3 linked regions of the Callithrix jacchus genome follow. The protein of the gene in region 1 purifies or fractionates together with the protein of each later gene. This does not show direct contact. Links are inferred from orthologs where the notes say so. Each region holds a gene or a part of one and is shown in the gene's direction. Other genes may lie near its edges.

Region 1 (5,421 bases):
CAGAAAATTAGATGGGCATAGTGGCACATACCTGTAATCTCAGCTACTTAGGCTGAGGCAGGAGAACCGCTTGAACCCAAAAGGCAGAGGTTGCAGTGAGTCGAGATAGCACCACTGCCCCCCAGCCTGGGCGACATGAGCAAAAAACTCCATCTCAAAAAAAAAAAGCATCTTTGATTGTCTGGAAACTGTAGTCAGAATTTAAAGTTACAGCATCACCATTTGAAAAAGGTTATTGATTATTCTCTAATCTGACATTTTCAACCTAAGTCATTAAAGGAATTTCAGTCACTGAAGATTGTGTATTCATGAACTCTTCACTTAGCTCATTGGCAACAAAGGAGTTTTATTTAAAGGGTTTGAAAAAGGAAATGGGTATATTTTCAGCTATTCTGTGACACACTGTCTCAATTTAAGCAGCTACAACTGATTCCACTAAATAGACATCTGTTTTCTAAAACAATGATCAACATTCAGTACCTGTTCATTTAATTGAAAAGTCAAAGGGACAATATTTTCTCTGAATGATTCTTTTTTATTTTCCCCCCAAGTGTTTACTAAAGGACAAGTCACCACAGGACAGTACAGGATGCTTGCCAAAAGAGGTGGATATGTCTGGGTTGAAACTCAAGCAACTGTCATATATAACACCAAGAACTCTCAACCACAGTGCATTGTGTGTGTAAATTATGTTGTGAGGTAAGTTTGAGAAATAAACATTTTTGGGAAACAAACAGTAATTCTTTTTGGATACTCTGTTCATTTATAGGAAGATAAGATTATAAATATTAACTAAATTTTATTTTACTTTCACATTTCTACCATTATTTTCTGTACTCTGACCTAAGTCGCCCAGGCTAGAGTGCAGTGGTGCAATCTTGGTTCACTGCAGCCTTCACCTCCCAGACTCAAGCCATTTTTGTGCCCTGTAGAGACGGGTTTTGCCGTGGTGGCCAAGCTGGTCTTGAACTCCCAGGCCCAAGGAATTCACCCACCTCAGCCTCCCAAAGTGCTGGGATTATAGGCATGAGCCACCCTGGACATCTGAAATTCTTAACTGAAATTAGTCAAAATATCTTGTATGGGGAGGTTTTTTTTTTAAATTTCAGCTTTTATTTTTTATTCAGGGGATACATGCATAGGTTACATGGGTATATCATGTGATACTGAGGTTTGTGGTACAATTGATCCTGTCACCCAGATAGTGAGCATAATGCCCAACAGCTGTTCAACAACCCTTGCCCCTCTCCCCTGGAAGTCCTCAGTGTCTATTGATGCCATCTTTATGTCTACAAGTAACCCAATGTTTAGCTCCCACTTACAAGTGAGAACATGCAGCATTTGGTTTTCTGTTTCTCCATTATTTCACTTAGGATAATGGTCTCCAGCTGCATCCATGTTGCTGTATAGGACATGATTTCATTCTTTTTTTATGGCTGCATACTGCGAATTTTATTGGGTCTTCATTTAATATTAGCATTTTAAAACCCTAAATGTGACAAATTGTGCCTGAGAGATCATGCATCTCAAGAAATCTTAAAATGTTCCTGTCCGTAAAGCAGAATTTCTTAAGAGACCGTTTCACAGTTCCCCTTCCCGTCATTGTGTCAAGTGCTCATTTATGAATTACTAATTTCTCTTGTTTTGACAGTGGTATTATTCAGCACGACTTGATTTTCTCCCTTCAACAAACAGAATGTGTCCTTAAACCGGTTGAATCTTCAGATATGAAAATGACTCAGCTATTCACCAAAGTTGAATCAGAAGATACAAGTAGCCTCTTTGATAAACTTAAGAAGGAACCTGATGCTTTAACTTTGCTGGCCCCAGCTGCTGGAGACACAATCATATCTTTAGATTTTGGCAGCAATGGTGAGTAATTATTTTGTTAATTCCCTAAACTTTTGCTGCATGCCTCATTTCAACTAAATGTTACTTTGACGTTTTTTGTTGGTAATCATTTGGACATTGAAGGCTATTATGTTGGTTTGATTAAATATTTTTCCCCTGTAATTTCTTACCATTCGTGCTTTTTTTTATATTGTTGGAAATTGTATTTTAAAGTGTCCTTAAGGCATTTATTCTTCCCACAAATTTTTCCTGGCTACTCTGCTATTTCTGTATCCTGCTGTCAGATTTTCTCTAGTTTAGCGAGTTATATGGAAGTAGGCATTGTTGCATTAAAGGATAAATAGTCATATCATATGGGGAGCCACGATGGCTCCGGCCAGTTGTCCTGGCGCTCGAGGAGGTGAGGCTATGAGTTCAAGGCCAACCTGAGCAACATAACAAGCTCTCATTGATTGACCAAAAAAAAAAAAGTCATATCATAACATCAAACATTGAAGATGAAAACTGCAATTTTAAAGTAGAGAACATTTTAATATATAAAATGGTTAGTATTGCCTTTTGTCTTTTATGCCATACAGATTAAGAGGAGGTATCAATAGTGGATTGGAAAGATAATCCAGATTTAAGATTATACTATAATATTTGTTAACTTCCTGATGAAAGAAAATTTGGTAACATTTTGTTGTTTGATAAATTGTATACATTTTTTGTATGTTAAAATCCTCGTGGCCGGGTGTGGTGCCTCACGCCTGTAATCCTAGTACTTTAGAAGGCCAAGACAGGTAGATCACTTAAGGTTAGGAGTTTGAGACCAGCCCGGCCACCATGGTGAAAAGCTGTCTCTACTAAAAATAAAAAAATTAGCTGGGTATGGTGGTGCGTGTTTGTAATCCCAGCTACTACTCGGGAGGTTGAGGCAGGAGAATTGCTTGAACCCAGGAGTCAGAGGTTCAGTGAGCCAAGATTGTGTCACTGTACTCCATCCTGGGCAACAGAGCAAGACTCTGTCTTGCTCAAATAAAAATATTTGTATACTTTATATTGACTCATATTTTTTCCTTGCAGACACAGAAACTGATGACCAGCAACTTGAGGAAGTACCATTGTATAATGATGTAATGCTCCCCTCATCCAATGAAAAATTACAGAACATAAATTTGTCAATGTCTCCATTAGCCACCTCTGAAACTCCAAAGCCACTTCGAAGTAGTGCTGACCCTGCACTGAATCAAGAAGTTGCATTAAAATTAGAACCAAATCCAGAGTCACTGGAACTTTCTTTTACCATGCCCCAGATTCAAGATCAGCCACCCAGTCCTTCTGATGGAAGCACTAGACAAAGTTCACCTGAGGTAGGTGTCATGATATAATCAGAAAGGGACAACTTTCAGATTTTAACATTCAAGATTGTATATAATTATAAGTTTGATTGAAACACTAATTTGAACCACAAATTATATTTGTGTGTGTGTTTGAATTTTAGCACTTTAAAATTATTGCAAGAGCTATTGCTTAACTTAGACCTCAGCACATGTTTTAAGCTCAAAGATAGGAACTTGGGAAGAAACTAGCATAATATAAACCAAAAGGTGAAACATACATTGTTTCTTATTATTTATATCAGTAGGACAAAAACGTCTTGAATTTGGACATTTTAGACTAGGACTAAGTGTGCTCAAGGTAGCCACAGCCTATACCTGTTACCTTGATTTTTTTGTTTGTTTTGTTTTATTGTGGGTTGTTGTTTTTATTTTTTGAGACAGAGTCTCACTGTCACTCAGGCTGGAGTGCAGTGGTGCAATCACAGCCCACTGCAGCCTCAGCCTCCCAGGCTCAAGTGATTTTCCCACCTCAGCCTCTCGAGTAGCTGAGACTACAGGCCCACACCACCATGCCTAATTTTTTAACCCTTTTTTTTCCCTGTAGAGTCGGGGTTCTCACTATGTTGCCCAGGCTGTTTGTAAGCTCCTGAGCTTAAGCGATCATCCAATCTTGGCCTCCCAAAGTACTAGGATTACAGGTGTGAGCTACCATCCCTGGCCCATTACACCTTTAAGTTGGAGAACTGTCTGGTAACAATAGGCTTAACAGGGTTTACATGGGAAAGGACCTTATAAATTCTTTGCCCAATTTAGTTCAGTTTCCATCACTATTTTGAAACTTTAAGTATAACATGAAAGTAACAAGTCTTACATAAATTAAATACTTAGTAACTGGTCTGTTTTATTCTAGATCTGTCTTGATATTAATTGTCCTATAAACACAACAAAAATAATCTTTAAAGGCTGGACTGACCAAGACTAGAGCTGTCACACAGGGCTCTATTTCTAAATCTAGAATGATTCCATTTCAGGACTTCCTACATTTAAAAATATGCTCAGGAGTAGGGTAACTTAGCTCTGAACACTATAACTTGATAAATGAAGCATAAATCAGCTTTAATAAGTGGTAAATAATTCTACATTAAATATTTGAATAAAACTGGCAAGCTAAGAGTAGGAGATTTGATCTCATAGCCTTCTGGTATAGGAGTATCTCCTATGCCCTGCTTGCTTAATTTACCTAGCACAAAAAAAATGTTTGATTCATTTTGGTTTTTGTCTAACAAAAATAATAGAATGATGAAAGCAAAATTCCTTGTTTAGAATACACAGCTATAGTTTTTTGTTAAAATTCTTGCCCAGAACTCTTAAAATAGTAATAATGTATATTCATTCAGGTGTATGCAGGTAAAAGCACTTAAGTCTCTACTCCTACCCTCAACTGTAGCTGTGAGATTTTTAGGTAGCTCAATCACCATAGAAGTGTGCCTTCTCATTTCAAAGGTAAATTCCAGAGAATGTAGCATCTAGTTAATTGGTCAGTTAGGTACCATTGTGGGATGTAAATTACCAAAAATTGGTTTTATTCTTTAGAATAAGATGTTTCTTTTAATTTTAAAAATGATGTTATATTACATAGTCAGAAATACGTACATTGGCAAAATTAGTTACCAGTATAAGCTTCAAAATGTCATTTTTTTCACTAAACTTTTAAAATTTTTTTTGAGACGGAGTCTCACTCAGTTGCCCAGGCTGGAGTGCAGTGGTATGATCTCGGCTCACTGCAACCTCGGCCTCCTGGGTTCAAGCTTTAGCCTCCTGAGTAGCTGGGACTATAGGCGTGTTCCAGCATACCCAGCTAATTTTTGTATTTTAAGTAGAGACAGGGTTTCACTATTTTGGCCAGGATGGTCTTGATCTCCTCACCTCATGATCCACCTGCCTCAGCCTCCCAGTGCTGGGATTACAGGCATGGACAACCATGCCGGCCTCGTTAGATAAAATTTGATAAACATGATGGATTTGGTTGTGTGTTTTTTGTTTTTTCCTGAGATCTAGTTTGAAAATTCTGACAACTAGCAAAGTATATGGAGGCTTCTTCAGGAAAAACTGAATATATTTAATTCTCTTTACAGCCTAACAGTCCCAGTGAATATTGTTTTTATGTGGACAGTGATATGGTCAATGAATTCAAGTTGGAATTGGTAGAAAAACTTTTTGCTGAAGACACAGAAGCGAAGAACCCATT
Region 2 (4,375 bases), on another chromosome or scaffold:
ATCTCTACTAATAATACAAAAATTAGCTGGGCGTGGTGATGCATGTCTGTAATCCCAGCTACTTGGGAGGCTGAGGCAGGAGAATCGCTTGAACTCGGGAGATGGAGGTTGCGGTTGAGCCAAGATCGTGCCATTGCACTCCAGCCTGGGCAACAAGAGCGAAACTCCGTCTCAAAAAAAAATGCAGATTGTGATCTACTGGGTGTGGAATGAGGTCTTGACTCCTGACAGGCCAATGTGAGTTGGGGACTTCTGCTCTTCGTTCTTTTGACTCAGCAGTGATTGTTGCTTTGGTCTGCGATAGACTGTTTCTCTATCACTTAGGCTTCCTGATTGCCAACCGTGTGCAGTCGTGGGGCTGGTGCAGGATGTGAAGCTAATATAAGGCGTTAGACTCTCTCCACAAACTTAATTCCCCATGGTGGAGACAAATATTAATTTCCATTTACTTTGAAACCTAAAATGGTCAAGATTCCATTTTCCTCTAGGCTAATAAATAATAATTTGAAGTATATAGTGGTATTTTGTCTTTGAAAAGCTGTGAGGAGATCCTGTTAATGTGGCATGGCCTGCTTCTGTGCCCTGCTTCTCCTGTGTTTCTTGAGCTCCGTGGCTCCATAGAGATAGGCCCCATCTCCTGGCTTCTCTGCTTGAGCCAAATAAAATGGCACTTCTCAGCTCTTCCTTTGAAGCCTGATCCGGTATGCATTTGGAGCTAATTACTACAGTTGACACAACTCCATCTAAAAGCATCGTGATACAGATTCTGTAATCACTGAAAAGAAAATGATCTTGCAGATTACTACTGTGTCCTCCTTTATCGCCTCTTTTCCTTAACAGTATAGTTTATAATAATGTAAATTTTTTCTAATGACTTTCAGCTTTAACCCTAGAAACTATAGATGTTTTCTCAGTGGTTATGTGATATTAACACAACATAACTGTATAATTTGCTCACTATTGATTACAAATTTATCATTGTGGCACATGCCTGTAATCCCAGCTGCCCAGGAGGCTGAGGCATAAGAATCACTTGAATCCGGGAGGTGGAAGTTGCTGTGAGCCAAGATCGCGTCACTGCACTCCAGCCTGGACGACAGAGGGAGACCCTGCCTCAAAAAAAAAAAAATTTATTTGCACTCACTGATAAAATGAATTTAAAACACATTCAGTGACTTGACATCTTGTTCGCTCTTTTTTCTTCTGTAAAACAGGAAATGGAGCAGACTAGAAGTGCTGTCGATGAGGACCGGAAAATGTATCTCCAAGCTGCTATAGTTCGTATCATGAAAGCACGAAAAGTGCTTCGGCACAATGCCCTTATTCAAGAGGTAAAAGGAGGGCAGTCCTCAGGGCTTCTTAGGGTAGAGGGCATTGTCGGTGTACAGAGTCAGTCTCTTTCTTCTTAAAGAGGATACAGAAATAAACTGATCCTCAAGTAGCATAAAGAAATGTTTCATACTTAGAATCGTACTTGCTTCCAGTTTCAATATTAAATTCAGATTTGCAGGCTAGGCACAGTGGCTTGTGCCTGTAATCCTTTGTTGTTGTTGTTGTTGTTGTTGTTGTTGTTGTTGTTGTTGTTGTTGAGACAGAGCCTTGCTCTGTCGCCCAGGATGGAGTACAGTGGCATGATCTTGGCTCACTGCAACCTCTGCCTCCTGGATTCAAGTGATTCTCCTGCCTCAGCCTCCCGAGTAGCTTGGAATACAGGCATGCGTCTGGCTAATTTTCGTATTTTTATATTTTTGCATTTTCAGTAGAGATGGGGTTTTACCGTGGTGGCCAGGCTGCTCTTGAACTCCTGATATCGGGTGATCCACCCACTTCAGCCTCCCAAAGTGTGGGATTACAGGCGTGAGCCACCATGCCTGGTGAACACCTGTAATCTGAATGCCTTGTTAGGCCAAGACAGGAGGATCGGTTGAGTCCAGGAGTTTTCGACCAGCCTGGGCAACGTAGAGAGACCCCATCTCACCAAAAAATATTTTAAGAATTAGCCAGCTGTGTTGGCATACACCTGAAGTTCCAGCTACTTGGGAGGCTGAGGTGGGAGGATTGCTTGAGCCCAAGGAATTGAGCCTGGGTGACACAGTGAGATGCTATCTTGAATAATAATAAATTCATATTTGCTTTGGCTTTATTTTAGAGCTCTAAAACTTGCCAGTTCATTGAGTCTTCTGTTCAGTTATTGAAGGAAGTTGACACATCAGATACTCATTCATTCCATAAATATCTGAGCCTACCATATGATAGATGGCCAGGCTGGTCACTGGGTTGTAGTACAGAGCAGCTGAAGATGTGGCAGGCCCTTTTAGAGTTTACAGTTTAATGGGGAAGAATTATGTTATTGAAATAGTACACAAATAAATATAAAATTACATTAGCATGCCCTGAAGGAAAGGTACACAGTACCTTGAGAATGTATTTAAATGTCCTGACCTAGGGGATGCTGGGGAAAACTTTCTGGAGAAAGTGGTGTTTGAACTAAGAGCTGAGAGTTGAGTGACAGTTAAATAGAAGCTTGGGGTTGTGTGTGAGTATTTAATGTTTATTGTTTCACTTAATTATGTATCATTATTAGATTTTGCTGTATCCATTTTCCATATTTTAGTTCCTATTTTCATACTTCATTCTGCCTGTTTGCTGAAATTTCAGTGCATTTGAGGCACTTTAAACGGATTGGTTAAAAGTCATTACTTACAGCTGAAGAACGGGCAGTAGTTTGACTTCCACGTCTCTCTTCCACAGGTGATTAGCCAGTCAAGAGCTAGGTTTAATCCCAGTATCAGCATGATTAAGAAGTGTATTGAAGTTCTGATAGACAAACAGTACATCGAACGCAGCCAGGCGTCGGCAGATGAATACAGCTACGTCGCGTGATGTCGCTCTCCTCCAGCGTGGTGTGAGAAGATCATTGCCATCACCATTTGGTGTGTTCCTGTGGGAAAAGCAGGCCTGTGCCTCCATAATTTGGTCATTTGGCAGCCCCTGTTTTCTGCTGTTTACAACATCACCAGTGCCACGTCATGAGCGTCAAAGAAAATGCCTAGAGATATTTCAAGCTCATGTCATGATGACATTTCTTAAAACTTTCTTAAAAGAATGAGTGAAGTATTGCTGGAATGTGGAAAGTCGGTTGGGTACCATGCTTTTTCTCCCCTTCACGTTTGCAGTTGATGTGTTTTTTTTTTTTTTTAATGTATCTTAAAGGACATAAAATTTAAAAACTTAAATATTGTAATATGACAGATAACCTAATAATTGTATCTACATTAAAATGACAAACATGATACTGCTGCTTGTCAAATAAAAAAAAATAAAGAAATAGAATGCCTTTTTTATGTGAATGGAGTATCAGGTTGACCACAAAATATATAGAGTCAAAGCAGCTAATGGGCATCTTTAGTTGCATTTTTATCTGAATGGTTTAGTTTACTTGTACTTCTATTTAAATCCTACATGAAAAATGTCTAGATTATTGTTCTTGAATGCACTGGCCTGCATTCAGCATAAAGAATGCTTTATTTTTATGGATTCGATATATTGGAGCTAAGCATTTTGAATCTTGAAGATGTAATTTCATCGGCAGTTTCTGGTGGTGTGCTACCCTGCAGACAACGCAGAGTGTGAGCAGGATTCATGGTGACCTCAGTTCTGGCACAGAGAGAGCTTTTCATTCAGAAGTTGTCTTTCTTCTGTTGCATAATGCATTAATTCTAGCATAGACTAACATCCTAGCTCTATGGCTTTCCTGAGTCTTAGGAGATCCTGTGATACCAATGTATTCCTTCCATATGCCTTCCCTACCTGTTACCCTTACAACCCTCCTCAGACAGTTTATATACTAGAGTCACTCCCATCAGTCACAGATATGCTTAGCAATGCATAACCTAAATATCTTTTTTTAAAATAATTTTACATTGCACCCAGTGCCACTTATATATAAATCTCATTATTTTGTTTATTACATATATGTATCAACAGCAGTGTCAGAATACTGCAATCTATTATATTTATTGTCTGTCCACACCATCACCACCACCACACCCCTCTTCCCTCAACACACAAACAAATTTTTTTGTTTTTTTTAAAGTAAGAGACAGGATTTTGCCATGTTTCCCAGGCTAGTTTAGAACTCCTGGCCTCAAGCAATCCTGTCTCTGTCTCCCAAAGTGCTGGGATTACAAGCATGAGCCACTGTGTCCGTTGAACATTCAGTTTTTAAAATACGGAATATTTAAAAGCAAATCACATAAATTGTTTCACTTTTAATACTTCAGTTTTTATCTTGAACAAATAAGGCCTTTAAAAAATCCACAGTGACATTATTACTCCTAACAAAAACAATAATTAACTTAGTATTATCTAATAT
Region 3 (5,421 bases), on another chromosome or scaffold:
AACTCAGCGGGGTGGGGCTTACGTGTCTTCCCCTGGGCTTCTCCTCTGTGAGCCTTGGCTTCCTCATCCATAAAATGGAATAATCCCATAAAATGAAATTGAGTGAGCAGGCCCCTGGCAGGGTCCCTGTCAGGTTGTGGTTGTTCAAGAAGTTGTAGCAGTGGTGATGGTGGTAGTGATGAGGATGATGGTCAGGGTGATGGGGTGATGGTGATAGTGGAGATGATGGGGATGATGGTGGTGGTGATGGTCATAGTGGTGGGATGGTAGTGGTGATGTGGGTGATGGTGGTGATGATGGTGATGTGGGTGATGTGGTGGTGGTGGTGTTAATGGGGGAGATGATGGCAGTAGTGATGGTGATGGTGGTGATGGGGATGATGGTGGTGGTGATGGTCATAGTGGTGGGATGGTAGTGGTGATGTGGGTGATGGTGGTGATGATGGTGATGTGGGTGATGGTGGTGGTGATGGTGTTAATGGGGGAGATGATGGCAGTAGTGATGGTGATGGTGATGGTGGTGATGTGGGTGATGGTGGTGATGGTCATAGTGGTGGGATGGTAGTGGTGATGGGGTGATGGTGGTGATGGTGATAGTGGTGGATGGTAGTGGTGATGGGGGTGATGGTGGTGTTGGTGATAGTGGTGGATGGTATTGGTGATGGGGTGGTGGTGGTGGTGATAGCGGTGATGGCGGTGTTAGTGGGGGTGATGGTAGTGATGGTGATGGGGTGATAGTGATGATGAGGGTGATGGTGGTGATGATGATAGTGGTGGATGGTAGTGGTGATGGGGATGATGGTGGTGGTGATGATGATAGTGGTGGGATGGTAGTGGTGATGTGGGTGATGGTGGTGATGATGGTGATGTGGGTGATGGTGGTGGTGGTGGTGTTAATGGGGGAGATGATGGCAGTAGTGATGGTGATGGTGGTGATGTGGGTGATGGTGGTGGTGATGGTCACAGTGGTGGGATGGTAGTGGTGATGGGGGTGATGGTGGTGATGGTGATAGTGGTGGATGGTAGTGGTGATGGGGGTGATGGTGGTGTTGGTGATAGTGGTGGATGGTATTGGTGATGGGGTGGTGGTGGTGGTGATAGCGGTGATGGCGGTGTTAGTGGGGGTGATGGTAGTGATGGTGATGGGGGTGATAGTGATGATGAGGGTGATGGTGGTGATAGTGATGGTGATAGTGGTGGGATGGTAGTGGTGATGGGGTCATGGTGGTGGTGGTGATAGCGGTGATGGCGGTGTTAGTGGGGGTGATGGTAGTGACGGTGATGGGGGTGATAGTGATGAGGATGATGAGGGTGATGGGGATGATGGTGGTGATTGTGATGGTGATAGTGGTGGGATGGTAGTGGTGATGGGGTCATGGTGGTGATTGTGATGGTGATAGTGGTGGATGGTAGTGGTGATGGGGTCATGGCGGTGGTGCTGATAGCAGTGATGGGGTAATGGTGGTGTAACGGTAGTAGTGATGGTGATGGGGGTGATAGTGATGATGATGAGGGTGATGGGGATGATGGTGGTGATGGTGATAGTGGTGGATGGTAGTGGTGATGGGGTGATGGTGCTGGTGCTGATAGCAGTGATGGTGGTGGTAATGGTGGTGTAACGGTAGTAGTGATGGTGATGGGGGTGATAGTGATGAGGGTATGGGGATAACGGTGGTGCTGTGATGGTGATGATAATAATAAAAGTAACAATAATAAAGGGACACACCTTAAAGTATCCCAGTGCCATCTCCTAAATCTAAGGTGTTGTGGCTGGAACATTGACATAACTCCTGACCTGAGCTTGGCCAGGACACAGACTTGGTGGAAAGAGGGAGATAGATGAGGAATGTCTGTCCAATAATAAAGGGACACACCTTAAAGTATCCCAGTGCCATCTCCTAGATCTAAGGTGTTGTGGCTGGAACATTGACATAACTCCTGACCTGAGCTTGGCCAGGACACAGACTTGGTGGAAAGAGGGAGATGGATGAGGAATGTCTGTCCAATAATAAAGGGACACACCTTAAAGTATCCCAGTGCCATCTCCTAGATCTAAGGTGTTGTGGCTGGAACATTGACATAACTCCTGACCTGAGCTTGGCCAGGACACAGACTTGGTGGAAAGAGGGAGATGGATGAGGAATGTCTGTCCTCAGGCAGCTAAACTGTTCAGCTGGGGGGGATTCCCAGCACCAGCCTCTGTCCTCCTGGGAGCCCACACTTTTCCCTGAAAGGTGTTCAAAGTCAGAACATCAGTGTAATTTAGGATGTTTTTTGTTTTTTGTTGTGTTTTGTTTTTTTGAGACAGGGTCTCACTGTTGCCCAGGCTGGAGTGTAGTGGCCTGGTCTTGGCTCACTGCAACTTCCACCTCCCAGGTTCAAGTGATTCTCATGCCTCAGATACGCGCCCCCATGCCTGGCTAATTTTTGTATTTTTTGGTAGAGATGGGGTTTCACCATATTGGCCAGGCTGGTCTCAAACTCCTGACCTCAAGTGATCCACCCTCCTTGGCCTCCCAAAGTGCTGGGATTATAGGTGTGAGTGGTGCCCAGCCAGTTTTTGTTTTTAAGAGAATGGGTGTCACTCTGGAGTGACAATGATCCTAGCTCACTACAGGATCATTGCACTCTTGGGCTCAAGCAATTCTCCCACTTCAGCCTCCTGTGTAGCTGGAAGTATAGGTGCTCACCACTACACCCAGCTAATTTTTACATTTTTATGTAGAGACGGGGTCCCGCTATGTCGCCCAGGCTAGTCTTGAACTTCTGGACTCAAGCAGTCTTCCTGCCTTGGCCTCCCAGAGTGTTGGGACTACAGGCGTGAGCCACCACACTTGACCTGGGGTGTTTTTGTTGTGTGCTTGCTGGCGAAGCCAAAGGCAGCTCTGTGCAGGGTAAAGCAATGGGGCTCTGAGTCTGGGGGATGTGCGTGTTATGTGTGGGTTGTTTGTGTGTGTTGTGAGAGTTGTGTGTGAGGTATGTATGAGAGGTATGTTTGCAGTGAGTTGTGTGTGTTGCGTTGCATGTGAATGCCACTTCCTCATCCTCGTTTGTCTTGGTCACTTGTGGACTGGCTGTCCGCACACACGGGTGCTGTCCCTTAAGTTGCACTGCCCTGCAGGCCAGCACTCCCTAGCACATGGGCCCCACAGACCCCACATGACATACACAAGCCTGCCTGATGCTCACATCAGCTCCGTGGGGGAAAGGATTGTTTATCCCATTTTGCAGATTAGGACGCTAAGGCATGGTGAGGTCAACTGACTCACCCAGGCCCCGGCAGATCAGGGAGGAGAAGTTTGAACACCTGAGGCTGCCCGGGCCTATGGTTCCAACCACCCTGGTGAACTGCAGAAATCCCAGCCACCTGGTGCACCCAGGCAGCCCTGGGTTCCTCCACAAGCCGGCATCTGTCCTGTCTGAAATCTGAGCCTCCAGGAGACCTCCTGCCCCAAAAGCACAAGGGGCACAAGAGATGCCAATTCTGCCAGGCCTGGCTCACCTGCCAGGGTTATGCTGTCACCAGAGCCACCTGTGTGGATTTAATAGTCACTGGACACCCGGCTCGAGGGTGAAATCCCCAGGTGCTGCCTGGCAGAGGGGCACGGCTGAATCTCAGTCTGGGGAGCCTTGTACCTGAGTGGGAGGGGTTCCACGTGCAAACCCTGCTGGACCTCTCCGGAGAGGCCCTTGACCAGCCTCCCATCCTCTCCTTAGGGCAGAGCGGCTTGGGTAAATCCACCTTAATCAACACCCTCTTCAAATCCAAAATCAGCCGGAAGTCAGTGCAGCCCACCTCGGAGGAGCGTATCCCCAAGACCATCGAGATCAAATCCATCACACATGGTCAGTGGCTGGGGGCGGGCTGGGGTGCGGGATGCCCCTGCCTTCCTGGAACACAGGTTGGGGGGTCAAGTCCATCACCCATGGTCAATGGTTGGGGGAAGGCTGGGGGTGTGGGACCCCTCTGTCTTCCTGGAGCACAGGGGGTCAGTCACCAGGGGCAGGCTGGGGTGCAGGGTGGTGTGGGATGTCCCTGCCTTCCTGGAGCATGGGACAGGGAGTCAATTCCATCATGGACGGTCAGTGGCCAGGGATATGCGGGGGGTGCAGGATGTCCCTGCCTTCCTGGAGCACAGCGTAGGGGGTCAAGTCTAACACCCACAGTCAGTGGCAGGGGGCAGGCTGGGGGTGCAGGATCCCCCTGCCTTCCTGAAGCACAGGTGTTATGTGAGGGTGCCGGAGTCAGGCAATTCCGGGTCTCCAAGACAGAGACTCGCTGTGCCTGCCATCTCCAGCACGTTGGTTCTGGGGCTCTGGCTGTGAGGGGTCAGTGTCCCCCACCCCTGTGGGTCCCATCATACTGAGCACCCCGCAGGCAAATGAGTTTTCCAACAAAAGTCACAGGCAACTGGCACCCAGGGAACTGTCACCGGCCTGTGCCCGAGTTGGCTGAGGAAGGCCATTAATGTCCCAATGTCTCCTTGGTTGTTGTTGCTGCCCACCTGAGGTCAGTCAGGCACAGGGCGTCTATGAGGGTTCTCCGCCTCCCCTCTGACTCTGTGTGTGTGGCTCTGTGCAGATATTGAGGAGAAGGGTGTCCGGATGAAGCTGACGGTGATTGACACACCAGGGTTTGGGGACCACATCAACAACGAGAACTGGTGAGGCCCCTCCGGGGAACGAGCACTAGCAGGAGCTTCAGGGCTCCCTGGACCCTGCCCAGAGTCAGCTTCAGGGCTCCCTGGCCCACGGGGGTGCAGGGCCCACCTCCTGGGGCCTGATATGCTGCTAATGTCGCACATCTCAGGGGCTTGAAAATTCTGGACCAAATCAGAATTACCTGGGGAGTCTTGCTGTCTTCAGCTCACCTCCTGAGGCCAGCCCGGGGAGGCTGGTTTGGGAGCCCGAGGATAAGGCTGTGGTGTCTCTGCTCAGCAAGCCGGACCTCCCAGGGCATGCACTGGAAAGTGGGGTGTTGGGTTGTGCATGACCTGCCTGTGCTCGCTGACTCGTCGCCCGTCCCCATGCAGCTGGCAGCCCATCATGAAGTTCATCAACGACCAGTATGAGAAGTACCTGCAGGAGGAGGTCAACATCAATCGCAAGAAGCGCATCCCGGACACCCGCGTCCACTGCTGCCTCTACTTCATCCCTGCCACCGGCCACTCGTACGTCCCGCGCTGTCAGCGTCCTCGTGCTGGGTGCCCTGGGTTCCCTCTGTCCCCTGGGACTGCTAGACGGTGCTGTCTGCCCTGCTGCTGGGCACAGAGGGGCAAGCTGGGCTGTGCCGGGTCTGCACCTCCAAAGCCTCACTCCGACCCCTACGCCGTGTCCTGCCCAGCGCCCTTCCTGCAGCTGCGTATGGGGAGCTGAGGGTCAGGCTGGGCTGTTCTGGAGCCTGGTGGTCTGTGTCCTGCCT

Evidence for each region. The genes of interacting proteins can lie anywhere in the genome.
Region 2: the proteins of HIF1A (region 1) and CUL2 purify together in Homo sapiens (affinity purification with western blotting; 7 studies listed by BioGRID and IntAct, with this or other methods). This does not show direct contact. The link is inferred for Callithrix jacchus from reciprocal best matches to the Homo sapiens genes HIF1A and CUL2.
Region 3: the proteins of HIF1A (region 1) and SEPTIN9 purify together in Homo sapiens (affinity purification with western blotting; 4 studies listed by BioGRID and IntAct, with this or other methods). This does not show direct contact. The link is inferred for Callithrix jacchus from reciprocal best matches to the Homo sapiens genes HIF1A and SEPTIN9.

Annotation. Positions count from the first base shown.
Region 1 is NC_133509.1:96,450,623-96,456,043, forward strand, and holds part of HIF1A (hypoxia-inducible factor 1-alpha), read left to right. Parts: intron 1-551; coding exon 552-699; intron 700-1,651; coding exon 1,652-1,872; intron 1,873-2,916; coding exon 2,917-3,203; intron 3,204-5,308; coding exon 5,309-5,421.
Region 2 is NC_133508.1:34,639,905-34,644,279, reverse strand, and holds the end of CUL2 (cullin-2), read left to right. Parts: intron 1-1,214; coding exon 1,215-1,331; intron 1,332-2,751; coding exon 2,752-2,883; 3' UTR 2,884-3,328; downstream 3,329-4,375.
Region 3 is NC_133506.1:133,303,247-133,308,667, forward strand, and holds part of SEPTIN9 (septin-9), read left to right. Parts: intron 1-3,716; coding exon 3,717-3,845; intron 3,846-4,581; coding exon 4,582-4,663; intron 4,664-5,032; coding exon 5,033-5,170; intron 5,171-5,421.